Callithrix jacchus: one gene and its partners. The protein of the gene in region 3 interacts with the protein of the main gene of each other region in a pairwise test. Links are inferred from orthologs where the notes say so. Each region holds a gene or a part of one and is shown on either strand. Other genes may lie near its edges. The genes, in order: PMM1, BICD2 and RAB6A.

Region 1 (4,098 bases), on a different chromosome or scaffold from region 3:
GTGGCACACACCTGTAGTCCCAGCTACTCGGGAGCCTGAGGCACGAGAATCGCTTGAACCTGGGAGGTAGAGGTTGCAGTGAGCAGAGGATTGCGCCATGCACTCCAGCCTGTCTCAGAAAAAAAAAAAAAGAATCTGGGAAGCTCTCCAAGGAGGTGGACCGTGAGAGCTGGGTCTTATGTGTGGACAGAAGTTATAAGGTTCGGGGAAGGCAATTCCGCAAAGTTCAAAGCCTGAGCAAAGGCCTTCAGAAGAGACTTCTTTCTTTTTCTTTTTTTTTTTTTTTTGAGACAGAGTTTCGCTCTTGTTACCCAGGCTGGAGTGCAATGGCACGATCTCGGCTCACCGCAACCTCCGCCTCCTGGGTTCAGGCAATTCTCCTGCCTCAGCCTCCTGAGTGGCTGGGATTACAGGCACTCGCCACCATGCCCAGCTAATTTTTTGTATTTTTAGTAAAGACGGGGTTTCACCATGTTGACCAGGATGGTCTCGATATCTTGACCTCGTGATCCACCCGCCTCGGCCTCCCAAACTGCTGGGATTACAGGCTTGAGCCACCGTGCCCGGCCTCTTTTTCTTTTGTTTTTGAAGCGGAGTTTCGCTCTTGTCCCAAGTAGCTGGGTTTACAGGCATGCACCATGCCCAGCTACTAATTTTGTATTTTTAGTAGAGTCGGGGGTTTCCCTTCTTGGTCAGGCTAGTCTCGAACTTTCGACCTCAGATGATCCGCCTGCCTCGGTCTTCCAAAGTGCTGGGATTACAGGCGTGAGCCACCGCGCCCGGTCCAGAAGATTTCTTACAGCTCAAAATTTGTAAGGCAAAAGCGATCACTACAAATCTTGTCAGAGTGGAGAGAGACCCCGGCTCTCTAAGACAGGGTCGAGGCCCCGCCAGACCCAGCCCCTCGTCTGCCAAGTAGCAATCACCATCAACCCGCCAATTCTCATCCCGCCCCTGTCTTCCGGGTTCAACCTCTCACTTCCTGCCGGGCCAAGGCTCAGGCCCCGCCTCCGTCTTGTTTGGAGCAATCCAATCGAACCTAGGGGGCTCCGCCCCGCCCTATACCACGCCCCCTCCTCCAGGGGTAATCAGAATCAGCTCAGGCCCCACCCCTGCCTCGGGCCACCGAGACCACGCCCCTTATATTTTGGCTCAGTCTGCTGCCCCCGCCCCCAAAGGCCCGCCCCGTCGAATCTTAACCCTGCCCTGTTTCGGCGGCAGCATCGTTTGGACTCCGCCCGGCTCGCGTAACTGCAGCCATGGCGGTCACCCCCCAGGGCGCCCGCAGGAAAGAGCGCGTCCTTTGCCTGTTTGACGTGGACGGGACCCTCACGCCGGCTCGCCAGGTAGGACGCTGAAGTTTGGAAGCTCCCGCCGGGGGTGTCACGCGGACACACCCGAGGCTGAGTGTGGGGTCTGCAGCAGCGTGACCGTGGACACCCCGGGACCGAGTGTGGGATGTGGCGTTACCCGGCCACCTGACATCCGGGGCTGCCCACCGCGAGTAAGGGGACCTGGTCCTCCACGTCACTGCCCCTGCGGCGTCCCTGCCTGTGTTCTGCTTGGGAGTGCTGGAGTTGGATCCAATACTGGAGGGAGGAGGCTGCGAGCGGGGGGCCTACCTCCCCTCCCCAGAGGCTTTCACGCGCCACTGAGGCCTGGCTCCCGGATGCACCCCCACCCGAACCGGGGATCCCACCCTAGTTCAGCCCTACGACGCACCAGTGGTGGGAGTTGGCTTCTGAACCGGGAGTTCAGGCACACAAGCACACAGCCAAGCGTCAGTCACCATCTGGTGGGATACCGAGGATCTAGGAGCCATCCCACCTCGACCTTTGCAGGTCTGGGCCTCCCCCAGCAGAGAAGGGTTCTTTTCGAATGCTTTTATGGGCTCTACCCACCCGGAGGTGAGAGGCTGCAGGCCTAGTCTGTTTACTGTGAGGACACTGAGGCATAATGAGGATAGGATTGTAGTTTTCCTCCTAAAGGCTCTCTCTGTGTTGAGCCTCTTAACGTCTGCTCAGTTTTTCTCCCACTGGGTCTCATCCTGAGTGAGTCCCCAAAAGCCCCCTCATCAGCTGGATGCCTAAATAAGCAGGCTTCATTCATGCCCTCCCTGTGGGTAACTCACCCTCCAGTCTGGGGGCCTTAAGGACCAACTGACAGGTCTAGAGACGGGGAGCAGTGGGGATGGGTTTTACTAGGCAGTGGTTGATGGGGACCCAGGTCTTAGCCTCCTCTTTTAGGTCCTGAATGCCTTTCCCTATCCTCTATGGTGAAGTTGCCTTGGCTTGGGCCCTGGGGGCTCAAGGAATGATCAGTCCACTCTGCCTTCCTGCAGGGGTGATCCAGGAGGAAGATGGTAGGATTGGAGTGAAGGTGGGCTGGTCAAAGTGGCTCACTCCTGTAATCCTAGCACTTTGGGAGGCTGAGGCAGGCAGATCACCTGAGGTCAGGAGTTGGAGACCAGCCTGGCTAACATGGTGAAACCCTATCTCTACTAAAAATACAAAAAATAGCTGGGCATGGTGGTGCATGCCCAGCTAGAGGGACTACAGAGGCAGAGGCAGAATTGCTTGAACCTAGGAGGCGGAGGTCGCAGTGAGTGGTGATGGCCTCATTGCACTCTAGCATGGTTCACAGAGTGAGACTCCATCACAAATAAAAGAACTGGAACAAAGGTGGCAGGGCCTAGACCCAGTTCTGATACCTCCCTCTGACCTTTTGCTTTACAGACATAACAACCTGAATAAAAACAGCCTGTTAATTTTTCTATGGGCCAGGCTATGTGCTTACTGCCTTTTGAAAGTTAATTTTTAATTGTACACATATTCATGAGCACATTCTCCTGATGAAGAATGAAAACATGACAGAGAAGGGTAAAGTCTCCTCTGACCACACCAGGATCCCAGGCCTGGCCCCCTCCCCAAGGCAGTGTGGTTCAAGTGCTGTGGCTTACCTCCAGGGTTTTATCTGCTTTATCTGGATCTGTTTGCCCAGAGCAATTTTTTTTTTTTTTGGTGACAGAGTCTCAGTCTGTCACCCCGGCTGGAGTGCAATAATGCAATCTCGGCTCACTGCAGCCTCTGCCTCCTGGTTTCAAGTGATTCTCCTGCCTCAGCCTCCCGAGGAGTTGGGACTACAGGCTCATGCCACCTGGGTAATTTTTTGTATTTTTAGGAGAGACAGGTTTTTACCGTTGGCTTCTCAAGAATCAACTTGATTGTGATGCTATTTTGTTGTTAGAGACAGGGTCTCGCTCTGTCACCCAGTCTCTGGAGTGCAGTGGTGCGATCAAAGTTCTCACTGCAGCCTCGAACTCCTGGGCTTAAGTGATTCTCCTGCCTCAGCTTCCTGAGTAGCTGGGACTACAGATGAGTGTCACCATGCCAATTTTCAACTGGGTGTGCTGGCTCATGCCTGTAATCCCAGCACTTTGGGAGGCCCAGGCGGGTGGATCATCGGAGATCAGAAGTTCAAGACCAGCCTGCCCAACATGGTGAAACCCTGTCTTTACTAAAAATTAAAAAAAAAAAAAAAAAAAAATGGCCGGGCATGGTGGCTCACGCCTATAATCCCAGCACTTTGGGAGGCCGAGGAGGGTGGATCATGAGGTCAAGAGATTGAGACCATCCTGGTCAACATGGTGAAACCCTGTCTCTACTAAAAATACAAAAATTAGCTGGGCATGGTGGTGCGCACCTGTAGTCCCAGCTACTCGGGAGGCTGAGGCAGGAGAATTGCTTGAACCCAGAAGGTGGAGGTTGCGGTGAGCCAAGATTGTGCCATTGCACTCCAGTCTGGGTAACAACAGCGAAACTCCGTCTCAAAAAAAAAAAAAAATTGACTGGAGTGATGGCTCATGCCTGTAATCTCATCACTTTGAGAGGCAGAGGTGGGTGAGTCACAAGGCCAAGAGTTCAAGACCAGCCTGGCCAACATAGTGAAACCTTGTCTTTACTAAAAATACAAAACTTAGCCAGGCGTGGTGGTGGATACCTGTAGTCTCAGTTACTTGGGAGGCTGAGGCAGGAGAATTGCTTGAACGCGGGAGGTGGAGGTTGCAGTGAGCTGAGATCGTGAGCTCTACTCCAGCCT
Region 2 (3,647 bases), on a different chromosome or scaffold from region 3:
TCTGCCCTCAGTCTCCATATACGCAGAGCAGAGACAAGCCTGGGCCTGCTGGGGTTTCATTCACAGCAAAACGGAACTGGCCCCAAAGAACCAGGTTCCTGGGGGCTGGGCTGGGTGCGACAGGAACAGAAAAAGGATCACACATGCTCTGCTATCCACCTGCCAGGCATGTTCCACGCTCCAGTACCTGCTTGTGTAACCTTGGGGAAAGCTGAGGTGCAGAAGCTGGAGGCCCCCAACCCCATGTGGCCCCCATATCGTCTCACCCTTTCTTGTTACTAAGTTGAGCACCAGTGTGCTAGAGATATGCTAGCAGCCATGCTTCCCCAATCTCGTACCATGCTGGCTCCAATGGAGCTGGGCGCAGCCAACTGAGTAGGCAAGACTGCAGGCCTCCGGGTGAGGCAGTGAGAGGCTGCGGGTGCCAGGGGCAAGTGCAGAGGACAGCTGGCCTCATGGAAGGGGAGGGCCAACAGCAGCATGGTTACCTGGTGGCAAACATGGCGCGCAGCGAGGAGAAGGTGGCCGCGTCCTCCTTGAGGGCCTTGAGCTCGTTGCGCAGCTTCATCATGGTCTCTGTAACCATGGCCTTCTCATTTTCATACTTGCTCTTTAGGTTGGCAAGGGCCACCTCGGCCGTCTGAGGGACAGACATGTAGGGCAGGCAAGTGAAAGGCGGGAAGTCAGCCTAGAGGTGCTCTGGGCGCAGGATGGGGAGCCCTGGTCTGAAGTGGTGGCGGTGCCCGGGAAGAAAGTTCCTGGGAGGCCCCTCCCTCTGACAAACCCTGGGGATAGACTCCAGCAGCTGTGCCATGGGGAGTCCTACTGCTCATTCTGACTGGCAGAGGAGGGACTGCCCCCAAACCTGCCCAAGGGACCCCTACAAAGCCCCACAATCACTCTCCAAATGTAGCTCTCACATGTTTTCCCTCTAGCCTCAGGAAGCACTATGAGGCAGTCACAGTGAGTGAATGGCAGCAGCATTTCTCACTGGCTGAGCAGCTTTGCCAAGGGGCCCTTGCTCCCCACCTGCTTGCTCCACTCTCCCAGGTGGGGACCCTGTGCAGGGGAGGGCCAGTGGCCGAGCTGATATAGAGCGGGCTGTGCCTGATGGTGACACAAGCCTGGGGGGGCTGTGTTGGGGGAGGAAGGAGGCCAAGGGGAAATACCCTTAGGCCAGCAATGGCTGACAAGTGCCCCTGCCACCTGGCGCCTCACCTGCTTGTTGGCCTTGAGCACGGTGCGCAGCGTGGTGATCTGCTCTCGCTTAGTGCTGAGCAGTGACTTCAGCTTGAGGATCTCCTCCATGAGTGCCTCCTTGTCTTTGTCCACAGCGGGGCCCAGCTCCTGTGAGGCAATGCGCTGGCGTGACAGCTCTGTGGTGCGGTCCACGGCTGCCTGCAGGTGCTTGATCTGGTCACGGATGATAGCGATCAGGTTGTAGATATTCATGGGTTCCCGACGTGGGTCACTCAGGGGTGATGGCAGTGAGGAGCCAGGCGAGGGGCTGCTATCCCCGGTCCCACCATCTGCTCGGCCAGTCTCAAGAGCCAGCAGCCCCTTGGGTAAGAGGATGGGTGAGCGGCGGCCACGCCCTTCAGGGCTGGTGCGGCCCCCAGGGCTGGTGCCTGCCCCACCCTGGCCCTCGCGGTAGTAGTCCAGCATGACACGGTTGGGTGTCTCATTGTTACACATGCACACGTGATGGTAGAGATTGGCCAGCTCCTCACTGAAGGTCACCAGTTCATCCTGGGCCACACTCAGGCTGCCCTGCGTCTCGCCGGCAACATCGCTCACCTTCTTCAACTCCTTCTCCAGTCGTGCCAGCAGCTCACGGTCCTGGTGGCTGGCCTTCTCTAGCAGGGAGACCTTCTCTGTGAGCGCCTGGCCCTCAGCCTCGTAGCGGCCCTTCTCCTCAGCATGCTGGGCCTCACGAGCCTCGTGTGTGCTGCGCAGTGCCTTGAGTTGCTCGCGGAGCTCACCAGCCTCAGCCACAGCTACATTGTACTTGCAGGCCAGGATCTCGGGCCCATTGATGTCCACCTCATAGTAGTCGCCGTCCTCATGACTGTCACGGTCCTTCTCATTGTCCAGGGCCGTCTGCCGCTCCTTCCCGGCCTGCAGGCGCCGCAGGGCACTCAGGTTCTCTGTGAGACGGGTCACCTTCTCCTGCTGCTCTGACAGGGATCCCCGCGTGTGCTCCAACTGCTTCTGCGTGTCCTGCAGTGTCGCCAGCAGGCCCGCCTTTTCCCGCTCCATCTGCAAAGGCACAGGCAGCATGACACAATGTCAGTGGCTATGGAACCCGAGAGCTTAGAGGACCCCCCAGGATAGCCCAGCGACATCCTACCCCATGTCAGGGCAGGCTATGAGCCCCAGGTTCCTTGGCCATGCTGTCAGTGAGGTGGACAGAGACACATAGGGTGAGGAAAGGATGGAATTCACACTGGGCTCTCAGAACACTGCCCACCAGTAATGGTGGTCACCCTCAATGCAGGCTCTTTCCCCACCAGTGCTACAGGCGAGCTGGGCTCAGAAGGTGGAGCTTGGGGCTGGCTGGGTGGGTAGTGGGGAATATTAGCACCCTAGCCCTCTGCTCCAGAAGACAGGACTCGGTTGCCTTGGATCAACAGGGATCCATGTCCCAGGAGGTGAGCCCATGCACGACCCTGGCAGGCCCCTCTGACTCCTGGCCTGCGTGCGGGGATCACATGTGGGGCCTGTGTATCATCACTTCACCCTGGCACCACATAGGTAACAGGGAAACAACGTGGATGCCGCAGTGCCAGGAATGCACTTCTCTGGGACTCTGTGTGCTCCTGGAGTTCCATTTACAGTAATGATGCAGAAGTTAAAACCAATGTAAGGAAAACAGAAGCTAACATCAGCAGAGTATCAGGTAAGAACTGCTCAGGGAGCCCTGCAGAGTTAGAGTGGGGACAGCATGCTGAAAGCCCCACTGCCTGCTCACCTGCATCAGCTGCTGCTTCAGCTTCTGGATCTCGGAGATGTTGAGCTCGCTGAGCAGGTCAGAGACGAGGCTGGGGGAGGGTGGTACAAGGCCCTCCTTCTTGGGCGTGGAGGTCTTGTTGTCCAGGGGCAATTTGGCCAGGCTGCCATGCTCAAGGCCGTTGACCAGGGCCTCAGCATCATTGTTGGGCTCAGCAGCGTCGTCACTGAACTTGAGGCCATCCAGCGAGACATGCAGGTGGCTGGTGTAGAAGGAGTCGTTGATGCTCATGTAGTGTGACAGCTCCTTGCGCAGACTGTTCTTCTGCTCGCGCTCCGTCTTCAGCGTCTCCAGCGCCTCCTCCAGCTGCCGCTCCGAGATCTCCTTGAGGCGGATGGCATCCTCCAGCTGGCTGTTGAGGTACTCAGTCTCCTCCTCCAGACGTTTGATCTCATGCTTGAGGCCCTCAAACTCCACCTGGGAAGAGAAGTCAAAACTTATGTCAAGGCAATGTGGAAGCTCCTTTTAGGCCCCATGAATGAAGAAAACACACCAGCACACCAACTCCTGCCACCATGACACAAGGTGAAGTGCCATCCTGGGAAGGGAGGTAGCCTGTCCAGGCCAAGGCCGCTTGCTCTGCTCAGAGATGTGGAGGCTAAGAGGGTTTTCCAGCATTAGATGCAAATGCACAGAA
Region 3 (3,647 bases):
ACGCCTGTAATCCCCTCACTTTGAGAGGCCAATCAGGGCAGATCACCTGAGGTTGGGAGTTCAAGACCAGCCTGACCAACTTGATGAAACCCGTCTCTACTAAAAATATAAAATTAGCCAGGTGTGGTGGCACATGCCTGTAATCCCAGCTCCTTGGGAGGCTGAAGCAGGAAAATTGCCTGAACGCAGGAGGTGGAGGTTGCAGTGAGCCGAGATCGTGCCATTGCACTCCAGCCTAGGCAATAAGAGTGAAACTCAGTCTCAACAACAACAACAAAGTGCTAGGATTACAGGCATGAGCCATTGTGCCCTGCCCTTTTAAAGTTTTTTAAAAGGGGCTTTCTTTTTAATTTTTTAAAAAATTTACCAGACTACACAGATGTGGTATCTTGGGCTAAAAACAAAATCTTACATAGACAAAGGATCTGTTCATTTGGACTAGTAATATTGTTACTATACATTTTTTGATACCGCCTCAATCTGGAGTCATATCTAATAAGGAATAATTGTGCTGGCAAAATTAGAAGGTTGCATTCAAGCACTTTTTTTTGAGATAGGTGCTATATGCAGCCTTTTTTCCTTTGCACCTTTACTTTGGGTTGCTGTTTGTTTTAAAAAAAAGAAGTATGTTCATATTGTGCATTATCAAGTTTTGTAGCTTTAAAATGTTTGTGCTTACTTTAACCAAAGCAAGTGAAACCTGGTGTATTTTTTTTATAATTCCACAAATGTGATTAAAATATTAGTAGTATATTGTTTTAACTACTGTAATAAGTGTTGAAGTACTCTACTTAGAATCCAACCTTAGAAAAAATAAATTTTGTTGCAAATATTTCCTGTGCATTAAACAAATAAACTTTAGGTTAAAGTGATCACAAACTGAGGAAACGGTGCAGGCAGTGGTGTTGAAAGCTATTGAAAGGCTTTAAAAATTTTCTGGATGTGTTGGGACTTACTGGCTGACATACTTTTGAGATGCTTTCTTTGTCACGTTTGGTATGTGTAAGTGATCAAAACATTGTGGCAATGTGACACCATATTATCTGCCATAGCTGTCCTTATATTTCAAGAGGTTGTTTTTTTTTCCCAATTAAATACTACATTGTGCTCATTTGGTCATGTTCAAAAAAGTTTTTAACTACTCTTAAAAGGAACCTTGAAGATTTTATTCTTGTAATTTGTTTAAATTGCTGACAGTTGTAATCAGATAAAATGGAGTTATGTTGCAGGCACATTAAAAGTGGGGTACTAATGTGCCAGACTCCTTCCAAGTTTGAGGGCTTTTTTGGAGGGAGGTGCCCGCCACCTGGGGAGGCATTTTTCAACAACACTAACTCTCTGTCTACCCTCCTATGCCAGATGTTAACTCATTCCAGCAAACTACAAAATGGATTGATGATGTCAGAACAGAAAGAGGAAGTGATGTTATCATCATGCTAGTAGGAAATAAAACAGATCTTGCTGACAAGAGGTATGGAGTTATTTTATGTTTGTGTAATGTTTGATTTCTGTGTTATGCAGCCTTTTATTTTTGTTTACTGAAAACTTATTTCATAGGAGACATGCTTAATCCTTAAGTTTATGTCCTCCCCTACTTTTCTTTAGCATGGGAACCTGAAATACAAATGTAAACATTAAACACCCAGTCCTTAAGGGAAAATGAATTTTATTTTATTTAAGCCCATGTGTAAATAACTCTTGTGCAGGATTGTTTAGACATGAAGCCAGTAAATATTTTGCATTTTTTTAGATCTCATAAACATGAATAGTGTTTTGTTAAAGAGCAAACCCTTTGGAAAACAAGCCTTATCTTTAAAAATTATTCATAATGATTAAATGCAGACTTAGTAGTCTTCTTATAAACATTCATTGTAATTCAGTGGTGTGGGATTTTGTTTTTTGGGTGTTTGTTTTTTTTTAATTGTGTAGTTGAGCCAGACTCTGTAGTTGCACTGAATAGCTTGATTGTGATACCTTAATCAAATGAGCGAAGCGATATTCAAGTCACAGGATGTAAAATATATTAACATTCACTGTAGAACCCTTGGCTTGAATATTTGCTTTCAGCATTCTTAAGGGATTTACTGTATATTCTTTCTGCTTTAAATAGTTTTGACCATACTACTTAATAGTAAGAGCTTTTACTATTTATTATTTGTTTATTCATGAGATGGATATTGAAATTTAGGTAATGAACTTGTGATATTAATTCAAATGTTGCAAAGAAAGCCAGTGTTAAAAGACTTGTGGAGATTTCAAGCCCATTTATGCCTATGGCACTTCAGTTAGAATTGGTAGTACAGGCTCATGCGCGTAATCCCATCACTTTGAGAGGCTAAGGTGGGCGGATCACCTGAGGTCAGAAGTTGGAGACCAGCTTGGCCAACATGGCAAAAACCCATCTCTACTAAAAATATAAAAATTAGCTGGGAGTGATGGCAGGCACCTGCAATCCCAGTTACTCTGGAGGCTGAGAAAGGAGACTTGCTTTAACCCGGGGGCAGAGGTTGCATTGAGCTAAGATTGTGCCACTGCATTCCAGCCTGGCTGAGATTTCATCTCCAAAAAAAAAAAGAACTGGTAGTACAGTTGCAAAAAAAGTCTTTCTTAATTTAAAAGTAAATTCAAAGTGATTTCGTCTTAGATACCTTCCTTTTTTTTTTTTTTCTGGAGATGGAGTCTTACTCTGTCATTCATGCTGGAGTGCAGTGGTGTGATCTGAGTTCATGGCAACCTCCACACACCACCACCACCACCAACACCACCCCACCCCAGGTTCAAGCTATTCTCCTGCTTCAGCCTCCTGAGTAGTTGGGATTACAGCTGCCACCATGCCTGGCTAATTTTTGTATTTTTAGTAGAGATGGGGTTTCGCCATCTTGGCCAGGCTGGTCCTGAACTCCTGATCTTGTGATCCACCTGCCTTAGCCTCCCAGAGTGCTGGGATTACAGGCATGAGCCACCATGCCTGGCCAGTACCATCATTTTTAAATAGAAAAATTGTATATCTGAATTGTTTCCCTCTATAGCCAGAGTCATCTGAGGAGGATGGTTATAAGGATTAGTTTTTTTTATTGCTTAATATTTCAGTTGAGTACACAAATGATAGGAACTTATCAAAATTATATATATTTTTTGTTTGTTTGTTTTTGAGACAAAGTTTCACTCTTCTTGCTCAGGCTGGAGTGCAATGGCACAGTCTTGGCTCACTGCAACCTCTGTCTCCCAGGTTCAAGTGATTTCTCCTGCCTCAGCCTCCCAAGTAGCTGGGATTACAAGAGCCCACCACCACACCTGGCTAATTTTTGTATTTTTTGGTAGTGATGGGTTTTCACCACATTGGCTAGGCTGGTCTTGAACTCCTGACCTCAGGTGATCCATCCACCTTGGCTTCCCAAAGTGTTGGGATTACAGGGGTGAGCCACCATGCCCAACCCCAAATTATATTTACAATAATTTTTCTTTAAGGTAACATTTGTCAGCTGCTTTGAAATTACCATCTTTCTTGGTAATCTTTGCCAGACTATCATCTCTCAACTGCTCACATTTAAGAGAAACAGAGCTCGTTCATTCCAATGAAAATACTTCCAAATGGGTAAAAGACTTAATTTTTCTTATCATCTTTATATTTTGACCTTTTATAAACA

Evidence for each region.
Region 1: the proteins of RAB6A (region 3) and PMM1 interact in binary tests that used the Homo sapiens proteins (3 or more experiments, as listed by UniProt). The two-hybrid records come from large-scale screens. The link is inferred for Callithrix jacchus from reciprocal best matches to the Homo sapiens genes RAB6A and PMM1.
Region 2: the proteins of RAB6A (region 3) and BICD2 interact in binary tests that used the Homo sapiens proteins (3 or more experiments, as listed by UniProt). The link is inferred for Callithrix jacchus from reciprocal best matches to the Homo sapiens genes RAB6A and BICD2.

The regions. Positions count from the first base shown.
Region 1 is NC_133502.1:190,158,179-190,162,276, forward strand, and holds the start of PMM1 (phosphomannomutase 1), read left to right. Parts: upstream 1-1,225; 5' UTR 1,226-1,259; coding exon 1,260-1,346; exon of another isoform or gene 1,347-1,886; coding exon of another isoform or gene 1,887-1,907; intron 1,908-4,098. UniProt on the Homo sapiens protein: Involved in the synthesis of the GDP-mannose and dolichol-phosphate-mannose required for a number of critical mannosyl transfer reactions. In addition, may be responsible for the degradation of glucose-1,6-bisphosphate in ischemic brain.
Region 2 is NC_133502.1:80,574,099-80,577,745, reverse strand, and holds part of BICD2 (protein bicaudal D homolog 2), read right to left. Parts: intron 3,428-3,647; coding exon 2,972-3,427; intron 2,260-2,971; coding exon 1,219-2,259; intron 641-1,218; coding exon 489-640; intron 1-488. UniProt on the Homo sapiens protein: Acts as an adapter protein linking the dynein motor complex to various cargos and converts dynein from a non-processive to a highly processive motor in the presence of dynactin.
Region 3 is NC_133511.1:67,265,483-67,269,129, forward strand, and holds part of RAB6A (ras-related protein Rab-6A), read left to right. Parts: intron 1-1,359; coding exon 1,360-1,471; intron 1,472-3,647. UniProt on the Homo sapiens protein: The small GTPases Rab are key regulators of intracellular membrane trafficking, from the formation of transport vesicles to their fusion with membranes.